Saccharomyces cerevisiae S288C: one gene and its partners. The gene in region 1 interacts genetically with each later gene. Each region holds a gene or a part of one and is shown in the gene's direction. Other genes may lie near its edges. The genes, in order: YNL190W, CYT2, MNT2 and YGR050C.

Region 1 (2,919 bases):
CCATTGGATACCGAGTTAAGCGAGGACGGTCCATGCCTTTTCAAAGCTATTACTCCTGCATGGAACAACCAAAATTTGAGTACATTAGCAGAAAAAACTAAATCTGATCTGGTCTTTGCGCACGTAAGAGCCTCTACATATGGTGTCCTATCTGAGACCAATTGCCATCCGTTTACATACCACAGCTTATGTTTTATGCATAATGGCGGTATATCTAATTTCAAAGGAATCAAGAGAAAATTATTGAATCATATCAAAGACGAATACCTGAATTTTATTCAAGGGAGCACAGACTCCGAGTGCGCATTTGCATTATTCTTAGACACTTTAGACAAATTGGGTTACGACCCAAAGAAGCAGGACGGCGATTTCGGTAATGTTGCACTAAGAAAGGCAATGTTACGAACGATTGACTACATCAGAGATTGGACTAAAGAAGCGAACAAGGACGAGGCACATGTGGAGCCATCTCTCTTAAATTTTGCTGTAACTGACGGATCCACCGTTGTCGTTTCCAGGTATATAACTTCAAAGACGGACGAGGCAGCATCTTTGCATTTCAGTTGTGGTTCCAGCTTTGTAGAAACTTCACCAGGAGAATACAGGGTAGAAAGGTTGGATAGAAACCAAGATGTAATTATGGTTGCATCGGAACCTTTGACTTTCGAGAGAGGTGATTGGACTGCAGTACCCACCAACAGCATATTGACCATTAAGAAACAGACAATATTACTACACCCTATTATCGATGAGTACTACCAAGAAGATCCGTTATACCTAAGAAGTTCAACCCTCGCAGAAAGCAAGGGGCTCATGGGTTCTATACCACTAGCAAAAGCCGTAGAAAAGAACGTTCCTCCACTAGAAAGAGAGGGCCGTACGAGACCTCCAACCGCTGTCGCACATATAGCATGAGCACACGCTCTAGAGGATTGTACCATTGTCACTACTAGATATACATATAAACAAATAAGAAGCATCGACACATAACAACAACCCCAACATCATAATTTCATAAGTATTTGGTTGGTTAGTCCATATGGCGTCTAATCCTCGAAATGAGAAGGTACCCGCCTGGTGTCTATGACAACCTTCCGGGTAATAAATGTTCATTTGAACCCATTCATCCAATTGATATCCGGGCAATCACTTCCGGAAGCGGAAATTTACAAATATCCGGTGGGTCCTACAAGGGGACTAAAGAAAAAAAATACGTGAAAAACAGCGATGCGATATTTTTTGTATCGTCTTGTTCGAGTGTTTCTTACCACGATGACCGGGATTTTGGCCGGTGAAAAAAAAAAAATGCGCTCCCGTACGTCAGTGGCTGTTGCTGAAACGAGACAATTTCTCAATTCGTTTGTTTGTGTACTGTATTTGTTATCTTTACTATATATATGTTGTTAAGTTTCTTTTACCAATTAGTGCTCACTTCTCTCGTCTTTTATTAGGTGTGTGTGTTGTGCGTAATTTTCGTTTCGCTGATTACTTTATATAGTGTAGTTTGTTCTTGAATGTAATAAAGACTTCTGTTTTATTTTGTTTTGTTATTTAGAAACAGTCTATCTGGTTTAACTTAAACGAGTGAGCTTAAGATAATCTGACTACAAGAAAACCAAGCTTCTATTACTTTGTTTCTTTCTCTTTTTTCTTTTTTGAATAAAGAATTTTCCTTTAAGGAGTAACTTAAGCATTTAGCTGCACATTAAACACTTTTTTTTTTACTTCTAACTCACACACTTTTGGAAGAACATTTATTTTTTCGACCTTCTTTCCCAAATACCCAGCGCTTTATAATTGAAATATGAAGTTCTCTTCTGTTACTGCTATTACTCTAGCCACCGTTGCCACCGTTGCCACTGCTAAGAAGGGTGAACATGATTTCACTACCACTTTAACTTTGTCATCGGACGGTAGTTTAACTACTACCACCTCTACTCATACCACTCACAAGTATGGTAAGTTCAACAAGACTTCCAAGTCCAAGACCCCAAACCACACTGGTACTCACAAGTACGGTAAGTTCAACAAGACCTCCAAGTCTAAGACCCCAAACCATACCGGTACTCACAAGTATGGTAAGTTCAACAAGACTTCCAAGTCCAAGACTCCAAACCATACCGGTACTCACAAGTACGGTAAGTTCAACAAGACCTCCAAATCCAAGACTCCAAACCACACTGGTACTCACAAGTACGGTAAGTTCAACAAGACCTCCAAGTCTAAGACCCCAAACCATACCGGTACTCACAAGTATGGTAAGTTCAACAAAACCAAACATGACACTACCACTTATGGTCCTGGTGAAAAGGCCCGTAAGAACAATGCCGCCCCTGGTCCATCTAATTTCAACTCCATAAAATTGTTTGGTGTTACCGCTGGTAGTGCTGCCGTAGCCGGTGCCTTATTACTATTATAATAAGCTTTGAATTGGATTTGAGAAATAAAGGAAGACCTAATTTTCTCCGGTTTTATGTTTTTTACCCCCCCTACCCCCTTCATCCTGAAGTAGTAAATTCTTTTTATTATACTATTTCGACTACTATGTGTTTACGTGTGCTTGTGCAAAAGTGAAATTTATTGTGATTGTGTTCTTTTTCTCTTTTTTTTATACAAAAAATGGAGAAAGGAAATTGGGACCTACGATTTAAAGAAGTGTTATTTCCTATTTCAACGAGTTAAATGAATGTGTGTGTTTCGTTGACTTGTAAGGATAGAGAAAGATCATCCAACTTTTAATCATGGTTTCCTTTCCTTTTTTATAGCAATCGAATGTGGAAGGAAAATAGAGCGGAGCTTGATAATTGTGTGTGTGAATGTCTTGCTTTCTCTTTTTCCTTATTTCTACGCTATACAAAAAGTGTGCTTTTTTCTTCTATTTTTTTTTCTTTAATGACTTTGTGTGTTTATTACCCTTTA
Region 2 (3,007 bases), on another chromosome or scaffold:
TCTTTGGGTTGTAAACACCCTTGTTTTTCAAGACTTGGGCGACAATTGGAACGGTAGAATTGACTGGGTTGGAAATGACCAGAATGGCAGCATTGGGAGCGGATTCGGCGGTTGCTGCTGCCAAATCGCGAACGATGCTTGCGTTGATGGCGAACAAGTCATCACGTGTCATACCAGGCTTTCTGGGCACACCAGCAGGAATTAAAACCATGTCTGTGTCCTTTAAAGCGTTGTTCAATCCGTCTGGCTCTTCTGGAGTAAACCCCTTGACCACGGAGTTTGTTGGAATATGAGACAAATCGGTGGCAACACCTTTTGCGCCCTTTAGGTCGTACAGTCTTAAGTCCGTGACTTTATGGTTAAGCTTTAGAAGCAAAGACAATGGTTGTCCAATACCACCGCCTGCACCCAAAACAGTCACTTTATAAGGGTTGGCAACTGTAGAGGAAAACGCACGTTTAGCTACTCTTGACAACATTGTATATGGTATCCTTCCTTTTCCTTTTGTTTTTTTTCTTCCTTTCCGTAGATGTCCACGTATAATATATTGTATATCTATATGTGTATTCGTTATCTTAAGTGGAGGAATACAGTACAAACACCCAATGCGTGCTAACACTTCTTTTTAAAGCGCAAGCTATATATATTGTAATATCCGCCATTGTATTATGGCAACTTTTTTTTGTATTTTTCTGGGAATCCGCTTGGCGCGTGATTGAGCCAATGAACGCTGAGTGAATGCCGAGAAGGGGGGGAGAAGCTGGCAGGAAGGCCCAACCGCCAGGTCCCTTGTACCTCTCCGGCGCCGAGGGTCGCACAAACTGCTAGTGCCTACTCTAGTTGTTGAATAAGAAATTGATTAATTAAATTGAGGGATTTTGTATTAGTGAATTATAATTTATCTATGTTTCTTATGTAGTGTTATTAGCGTAATCATTATTCGATGTCGAGACTGCTGCCCAGGTACATGCGGATTTGGCGGGGAGTGGCCGGTAGCACCCTGCAGCGCACGGGGAAGGCGGCGTTCTGCGTTTCGCGAGCCCGGCGGTCGTATGCCTGTAGACGGTGGCAGCCGCCGAAGGCATAATATAGCGTCTGTCCCTTGACTCGCACGCCCAGCACGTCCACGGGCGGCAGTTCCCCGGCTGAGGCAGCCGCCTCAGCCTGTTCTAGAGAGCATGTCTTGCTAGCGGTGGGAATGCCCTTCATTGTGGCCACCATTGCGTCGATCTTTTGAGGATCCAACACAGGCGCTAGGGGGCGTCTGATCTCTGAGAGAGGAATTTCTGTTGGTTTTACACTGTTGCTTTGTAGTGACATATTGTTCTTTTTTTACTTGGTTTTGTAGTTTTTTTTTTCAGTAAGAAAAGTATATATAGCTCATTGATGGTAGATATTGTGGTTTATATACAACACCTCTTGACATGTATTGCATCGCATCCTTACCCAACAGGGCTACTGTAATGACTAAAAATAATGGCGACTTCTGGGCCGGCCTTCTAAAAAAAAGGGACCCGCAACGGGTAACGGCATATTTTTTTCGAAATCAAAGTTCCAGCTTTTCGATGTTTGTAAGCCTTCTAAGACAGAAAGATGTAGTATAAATGATGTAGCTTACTAATCAGGGAAAAAGCAATCGCTAGTATTGCAGAGGCCAAAGGCTTAAGCATCACATTTCGGTAGTAGTAAATAGTTTGTTAGTTCACGTGCTTTTCATTCGTCTCTATTTTACATATTATGATGTCTTCAGACCAACAGGGGAAATGCCCCGTAGATGAGGAAACCAAAAAGTTATGGCTACGAGAACATGGCAACGAAGCGCATCCTGGTGCTACTGCCCCAGGCAATCAACTAGAGTGCTCTGCAAACCCACAAGATAACGATAAAACGCCTGAATATCACACCACGGTGGATCTCTCTCAGTCCAGAGAGGTTTCCACCATACCAAGGACGAATTCTGACAGAAACTGGATATACCCGTCGGAGAAACAATTTTACGAGGCAATGATGAAAAAAAATTGGGATCCGAACTCAGATGACATGAAGGTGGTTGTGCCTTTACATAACTCCATCAATGAGCGGGTTTGGAACTACATTAAAAGCTGGGAAGACAAGCAGGGTGGTGAAGCGTGTGGCGGTATCAAATTAACAAATTTTAAAGGTGATTCCAAAAAACTGACACCAAGGGCCTGGTTCAGGTCCCGTATCTTGCACCTGGCCAAACCTTTTGATAGACATGATTGGCAGATAGATAGATGCGGTAAAACCGTCGACTACGTAATCGATTTCTATTCCACCGATCTGAACGATGCAAACTCGCAGCAACAACCACTTATTTATCTCGATGTTAGACCAAAATTAAACAGTTTTGAGGGCTTTAGATTACGGTTCTGGAAATCTTTAGGCTTTTGAATTACTACAACTATTCCTGTAAATAAAAACATACCCTCCCTAGTTTCCACATACATATTTATTTAATCTTATTTAGGCACTCAATTTAGAAACTAGGGAATGAAAAAGCAGTAATCTTCTTTTAAGGAATAAACAAAAAAAAAAAAAATAAAACATAAAACATAACACAAAATACTCTTTTCTAATGCATTTAAACTTCGGTTTTCACGTCTTCCTCATCCTCTTCGTCTTCCTCGTCATTGCTCTCATCGGATGCTGTTTCATTTAGAGCTTCTTCCTCCTCCTCGTCCTCCTCATCCTCTTCGTCATCCTCATCATCGTCGTCCTCATTGTCAGCACCCTCTTGTTCTTCTTGTTCTTGCTCTTTATCACCAGTTTCCTCGTCCCTAGCTTTCCGTATTTCATTGATTCTCCTCCTAACGATCTCTACAATATCTGTCCATTCTCTCATACCACCCATACCAATATCTCCGCATATTAATACCTTTTCCACCGGTTTCAAAACTTGGATGAACGGATAGTCTTGCACTAAACTCGTCAGGTGTTTCTTTGTCATAGGATTGATATACATGAATGTATTCATTGCAGGCGCAAT
Region 3 (3,843 bases), on another chromosome or scaffold:
TTCAAAGCACAGGCATCGGTGATTGGGTTAGAGGCGGTGGAAACATAAGCTTCGATACAGTGAGTCAAAGCATCTAGACCAGTAGCAGCAGTCAAAGCAGGTGGCAAACCAAACATGGTAGATGGATCGTTGACAGCAACAGCTGGAGTGACGTTGTTGTCAATGATAGCCATCTTGATTTTCTTTTCTTCATTAGAGATAATAGTGAATCTGGTCATTTCGGAAGCAGTACCAGCAGTAGTGTTGATGGCAAATAGTGGTAAAGCAGCCTTCTTAGATTGATTGACACCTTCATAGTCTCCGATTTCCCCACCGTTAGTAGCCAATAAAGCAATGGCCTTAGCATTGTCGTGAGCAGAACCACCACCAATGGAAACAACAATTTCAGAGTTTTGTTCCTTCAAAACCTTCAAACCAGCTGTGACATTGGCAATATTTGGGTTTGGTTGAGTTTTGTCATAGATAGCAACGTTTAAGTCACGTTCTTCCAACATCTTTTGGACTCTACCGGAGAGACCAATAGCTGCAATACCAGGATCAGTAACGATCAAAGCCTTTTTGTAATCCTTGTTTTTGATGTAATCAGCGGTTTCTTCTAAAGCACCTTCACCAAAGAAAGAGATTGGTGGAATGTAAAACCCAGTAACGGAAGACATTTTTCTTATTTGACTATTAGTTGTTGCAAATGTAAACTTGTTGTTGATGGTTGTTTTGCAATAGACAGAAGAAAAACGTTTGACTCCAGTCTTTAATAAACCAGAAATGCTAATAACCCTTTTATACATGTTGGTACGCTGCCCTTTTTTCCTGTTTGATAAAAGAATATATCCTAGTAGTGTGAGATATTTGAGGCAGCAAAATATCAATTGCTTTGTAGAGTTAACGGCATACGTGATCCCAAGCATCTGACATATTAAACACGTACCTCGTGATGCGCGAACTAAAAACTAGTTCTTTTTTTTTTTTTTCATAGCTAATCCACTGCGGTGATACTACAGCCATCATCACAAACACTGCTAACAGTTATAACCATGTCAACATCACACTACAAAAAATGGCCTCCTTGGAGAAAATAAAATGGAAGCTCATTGAAGGCCTCCGGGGATCCTTCTGAACACAAAACGCAATTTCAAATCAGCAGCCTCAATTATACTGGTTGCTTAACCGTGAAGGTTCATTTAAGTACTTCTACTTTTTACAAACGCTCGATAACCTTTCAAGTAGTGCGCATAACAGCTGATGCATTAGAAAAAAATTTTCACACGATAGAACTGTAACGCACTACGAAACTAAGCAATATGGCGTAAACACACAAAGACTAAGGGACTTCTTGATTGATTTCTATCAGCAGCGTTCTCCGAATTGTAAATAATAAGTACATTATTAGTGGGCCTTAGGCAACTCTTTGAAACGGAAATTCTTGTTTACATTTTTCATTTTCCCGAGACGAAGTTTTGATGAGCCACACAATACCGGTAAAGAAAGAAAGAAGTACCTGGAACTAAAACAGTGCTAATTCTTCTTTCCTTTACTTTAGGGGTGGGGACCATCGAAGTGGGGGGAGACAGCAAATCTCTCAATTGAGTAAAATATTCGCATGAGTGTTTGCAAATCCGCAGTGACAGGACAAAAGTAGCCCCAATAGTATTTATCGAATATGAGAAGAAAAAATCGACTGTTTATATTAGTTGTACTACTGGGAATTGTGTTAGTAGTATATTACTCTCAGTTGAATTCGTTAGATTTGGTAGAACCAGTTCAAAGTAGCAGCAGTGGCAATGGTGGCTGCTGGAGTTACTATGAAGGTCTTACGCCTGGGTGGTTGAATGACTTCTACGACGTAAATCAAATAACCCCGAATCCTGCAAAAGATGTGATTGAACTGGTTACGAGGATTAAGATTTTTTTTAATTGCTTGCAGCAGGTTGATGGGCATAATATTCAGCGTTTGAGGGATATTGAAAAGAAGCTCTTTCCGTATATTAACTTTGAAAAATTAGAAACTGATGAAAGTGCCTTCTGGCACACAACTACGAGATGGAATGGCGAGGTTTACCATGCGTCTATGTTGGAATTTGACCCCAAAAACCATCAATTCCTTCGTTCTAAGCCCATCAATTTCGATACAGGGCTATCTTTTTGGGAGAATTGGTTGCACACTGTGACTCAAAGTGGTTCGAAAGGCATAGTTATTAGTGCTTCTGACGTGCAGTTGAATGAAACCATACGCTTATTGAAAGTGTTGAGGTTCATCAAAAATGATTATCCTATACAGATTGTTCATAATGCAGATCTGAGTCAAGATTCCATGAAATCTATTATCAAATATGCGAGAAGTCTAGACACCGCTGAATATCCTGCTCAAGAATTATGGTTTTTAAATGTACATAGTCTGCTAAACCCGAAATATTCGAAAAAATTTACCACCTATTCCAACAAGTGGTTAGCATTGACCTTCTCATCCTTTGAAATTCCTATTCTAATGGACTCAGATACAGTGCCCTTTGTTTCAATAGAAAAATTTTATGAATTAGAGGAATTTCAAAAGACTGGAGTTCTATTCTTTAAAGATCGGGTAATATCAGATGATCTATTTGAATCCTCTGAATTAAAAATTCTAAGGGAAATTGTCTATGGGTGTATTGGGCTTGATTTAGAGGATGAATCCAAGATACATGAGCAAGTAGAGGATCCAGTGGTTGCACAGGTTCTGGAAAACATGTTTATAAAGAAATATAAACATCATTTGGAAAGCGGCCTGGTAATATTGCATAAAGGAAAGCATCTCTTCAGTATGCTTACTTCAATAGCTTTACAATTTTCTCCAATTGCAGAATATTTTCATGGTGATAAGGACTTTTTTTGGCTGGGCGAATTACTTTCGAACAATCGCTTTACGTTCCATCCTGTGGATGCATCAAACATTGGTCAGTTGGGCAATGTAGTTTCAAAAGAGAGTACCGGTGAGTTTTACCAGATTTGTTCTGTGCAACTATCTCATACAGACAGGGACGGGTCCTTGCTATGGCTAAACGGGGGCCTTAATATTTGTAAAAAAACTTCATGGGAATACGATTATGAGCATAGACAGAGACTAAATGATATGTTCCAAAATGCAGATGAATTACGTGAATATTATGCATCACCAGTAAAACTTGAAGGGATTATAATACCAGATACTAGTATATCAGGATGGATTAACTCAGGAGAGTGTTTTTTGTTCAATTATTGCACATTATTCAAGGAAGGTGAGTTTGGAAAGTTGATCAAATTTAAAGAAGACGAAAAGCTCCGGCTTTCACAAATAGTCGACATATGGAATAAAGATATTTGACCAAGAGTTGTTCTAGTCTTATAAGCAATAGGTAAACCTACACGCTTTTGTTGTATAATGTAGTATAATTTTTGATATCTGAAAAATTATCGCACTGAAGTATAACGTAATGTTTTGTAACGAAGTTACTCTTTAAGTAAATCACTCTTGGCATGCATTGGATAACATAGCCATGATGCAACGCCAGCAAAAATCCAAATTGATTGCAATAGGGAACTATGAAAAATCTGGTACTCCCGGCCACGCTAAAATGATTTTCCACTAAGGTGTTCCTAAAACCTTTCGGATCCTTTATGTCTCTGGCATCATAAATGTCTGTTTAAATTAAAGTATATTGAATTGGTGTTGAAATTCAGCATAATCGAACCACTCTCATGTGGGATGTAGCATCATTCTTAACGCTTTTACTATGCGATCGCCACTTTTAAATGTTGGAAATTGTGAATAATTTACTTTTATCTTGTAGGCAAACCGATCATATTCTGCAAAATTTTGAAAATCCATATCTA
Region 4 (2,573 bases), on another chromosome or scaffold:
GGATAGCGTGACCCCAGTCTGCCAACTTGATGTCACCATTTATCGTTAGCAAAATATTTTCTGGTTTGATATCACGATGAGCAATACCCAAGCTGTGAGCAAAGCTGATTGCTGAGCACAGTTGTTTGATTATCTTTTGCATATCAATTTGAATCAAAGATGGAGACGACGGGCTACCTTGACTCTTAGCAATATCTAGAAAGTCATAAAGATCACCACATTCGCAGTATTCTAGCACCATGATGTAGTACGAGTCATCCGTGTAAAAGTCGAGCATCGAACAGATGTTGGGGTGAGGATTACAAGAACTCAAAATCTTCATTACATCATACTCGTTCTTCATGTTGGCTTCTGAAGTTTTGTATTTAGGAGTAATCTTTAAAGCGACGTAGCGGTTATGTGTAGTACTCCATGCTTTATAAACTGTGCTAAATGTTCCTGATTGTATAGATCTTAGTTTTGTATACATTTTTGCTTTTTATTATTCGGTATATGCTGATAATGATGTGCTTATTTAAATGATTGCGTATACGAGTGAGAATTTGATTCGGAGGGTATGAGAGTCGATCTTGAGTCCTATGTTATATGCTTTTTGTCAGTAACGGGTTATTTAATGCTAAGAATAGTTATTATAAAAGGGAAATTTTTTTGTATTAAGAATAGTCATCACTTACATGTGTATATTATATATATATATATATATGTATTGTACTCGTATTATTATTCTTTGGGGAAAGTATTAGTAGGTAGATGCAACTAAGCTCCGATTTTTCCAAAATTAAGTTGTCCCTTATTGCATGGTCCCCTTAATTATCCTTCCTTTATTGTATGTAACATGAAGCTGCATTTTTGTTCTCAGGCAGCATCATCGTTCCCTTCACCTAACCCTTCTAACTTCCTTTTACCTGTTGCAAGCTGTCTCATACCCGCGCTGAAAAGGCTGAGAACTGGGTATTGTCCCAATATTACGCTCGGCTTTTCTTTTCAAAAACTTTGTATTCCAGATACTTCCATGTGCAATTTCCCTAGTGCTCCCTGTACCAAGCCATCGGAGAGGAGATGCCTTCTAGAATTCAAAGCACGTAAGGGGTACAAAAATCGGAACGGGCCGAAGGCCGAAAAGAGACGGCCGTACGTGAGAGCACATGCAAAGTGGTGAACGGGACGTTACGGAGAATTACGGAACCTCTCAACAGAAGATGCGCCAATAGTCCTTCCGAACTAGCTCCACGGGAGGGGTATGAAGAGCAAGCTTGTTTACGCAGCCTCACCACCGCACCGAAAGACCCTCACGACAGAAATGGAGCGCCTTTAATGACGTTCGTCCGCTGCGGGCCAGAACAGCACAGTTTTGCTTCCCCGTTTCTTTTCCACTATTTCGTCACCCGCTCGAGGTGGCTCGCCCGCTCGGAGGCAAGCTGCACATTCATCGAACACGGAGAGGCACGGGCGAGAGAAAAAAAAGCCTATTGACCTAAACGGATGTCATAATGAAAAGAAGGAATCCGGTTTTCCTGGGCATGACTAAGGTAGCACGACTCAACTGGGCCAGATCGGTTGCTTCTTCCGATATACATGCATTAGATTAAGCCAAAGTAAAATCAAAAGAAAATTTAGCGGATATGAAAACCAATCTAATCTCCTCGTTTGCTTTCCGACCGCATGTAAGGTTCGGCTTTCTTGACTTCGGATATAGCTTAAAGTCGATTCTTGACGTCACTTCGCAATATCATTTCATTCCCATTAAACTGGCGTATGGACTTTGCGATCCTTTATTAATAGTTTATCCGGATCCCAGTTTTAGTTTGGCTCAAGCTGCAGGTGAAAAGAAAAAAGTCGTATTCCCTACGTATGAAGATGTTCCGAAACTACTGTTGACGTTTAAGCAGATTATGAATACGTATAGGAAGGGAAGTTTGGGACAGAGACAGAGACAGAGAGTGTACGGGCGAAATGGGAATGAATCACATTCTACGTAATTTGTCTTTGACTTTCTTAGAGATACGTATATAACTTTTTTTTCTGTGTGAAAAATAAATATTCTCTTATCCAATGTGGACAAGAGCCAAAAATACTCTGCTTTGTATATTTACTAGTTTTTTTGGCCTTTTTTTTCGCTAAACATATATATTAGTCTCGCTTAAATAATTGTGATGTTTGAAGGGAACGTGTCACGTGCTTCGTCGTTCATGCTTTGAATCCATCTAGGATACACTTACCAAAGGTAAAAATTGTTATACCGGTTACAATGCTCATGTGCAATGACATGTATGAGTGACATTTTACGCTTCTTTCGGATTCAGGTTTTAATGTTTTGGCGTTGTTCATCTTTGAGAATGGGCATGCAGCTTCCCCATCTTTGACTTCCGGGTGATGTTGGGGTAATTTTTCATCCTTTTGCTTTTCTAAATCATTTTGGTCACGTGTGCATTTTGGGGCTAGCTTGTGATTGAACAGTGATACTAAGTATAGGTAGGCTGCAGATAATGGGGCGACACCAAGTCCGCACAAAAGGTAGTTTGGTCTTTCTCCTGGTGCAGCTAGATAGTAGCTGAGTCCAAAGGCACCAGTAG

The links.
Region 2: mutations in YNL190W (region 1) and CYT2 together harm fitness more than expected from each alone (negative genetic interaction), as found in Saccharomyces cerevisiae (one large-scale study listed by BioGRID).
Region 3: mutations in YNL190W (region 1) and MNT2 together harm fitness more than expected from each alone (negative genetic interaction), as found in Saccharomyces cerevisiae (one large-scale study listed by BioGRID).
Region 4: mutations in YNL190W (region 1) and YGR050C together harm fitness more than expected from each alone (negative genetic interaction), as found in Saccharomyces cerevisiae (one large-scale study listed by BioGRID).

What each region holds. Positions count from the first base shown.
Region 1 is NC_001146.8:280,591-283,509, forward strand, and holds YNL190W (uncharacterized protein), read left to right. Parts: upstream 1-1,804; coding exon 1,805-2,419; downstream 2,420-2,919. Other genes in the region: glutamine amidotransferase subunit DUG3, read left to right, coding at 1-915. UniProt on the Saccharomyces cerevisiae protein: Hydrophilin which is essential to overcome the simple stress of the desiccation-rehydration process.
Region 2 is NC_001143.9:276,594-279,600, reverse strand, and holds CYT2 (cytochrome c1 heme lyase CYT2), read left to right. Parts: upstream 1-1,737; coding exon 1,738-2,412; downstream 2,413-3,007. Other genes in the region: malate dehydrogenase MDH1, read right to left, coding at 1-478; SRX1 (sulfiredoxin), read right to left, coding at 937-1,320; phosphopantothenoylcysteine decarboxylase complex subunit CAB3, read right to left, coding at 2,603-3,007.
Region 3 is NC_001139.9:11,972-15,814, reverse strand, and holds MNT2 (alpha-1,3-mannosyltransferase MNT2), read left to right. Parts: upstream 1-1,657; coding exon 1,658-3,334; downstream 3,335-3,843. Other genes in the region: alcohol dehydrogenase ADH4, read right to left, coding at 1-656. UniProt on the Saccharomyces cerevisiae protein: Mannosyltransferase involved in adding the 4th and 5th mannose residues of O-linked glycans.
Region 4 is NC_001139.9:591,492-594,064, reverse strand, and holds YGR050C (uncharacterized protein), read left to right. Parts: upstream 1-1,622; coding exon 1,623-1,979; downstream 1,980-2,573. Other genes in the region: protein kinase FMP48, read right to left, coding at 1-469; SCM4 (Scm4p), read right to left, coding at 2,188-2,573.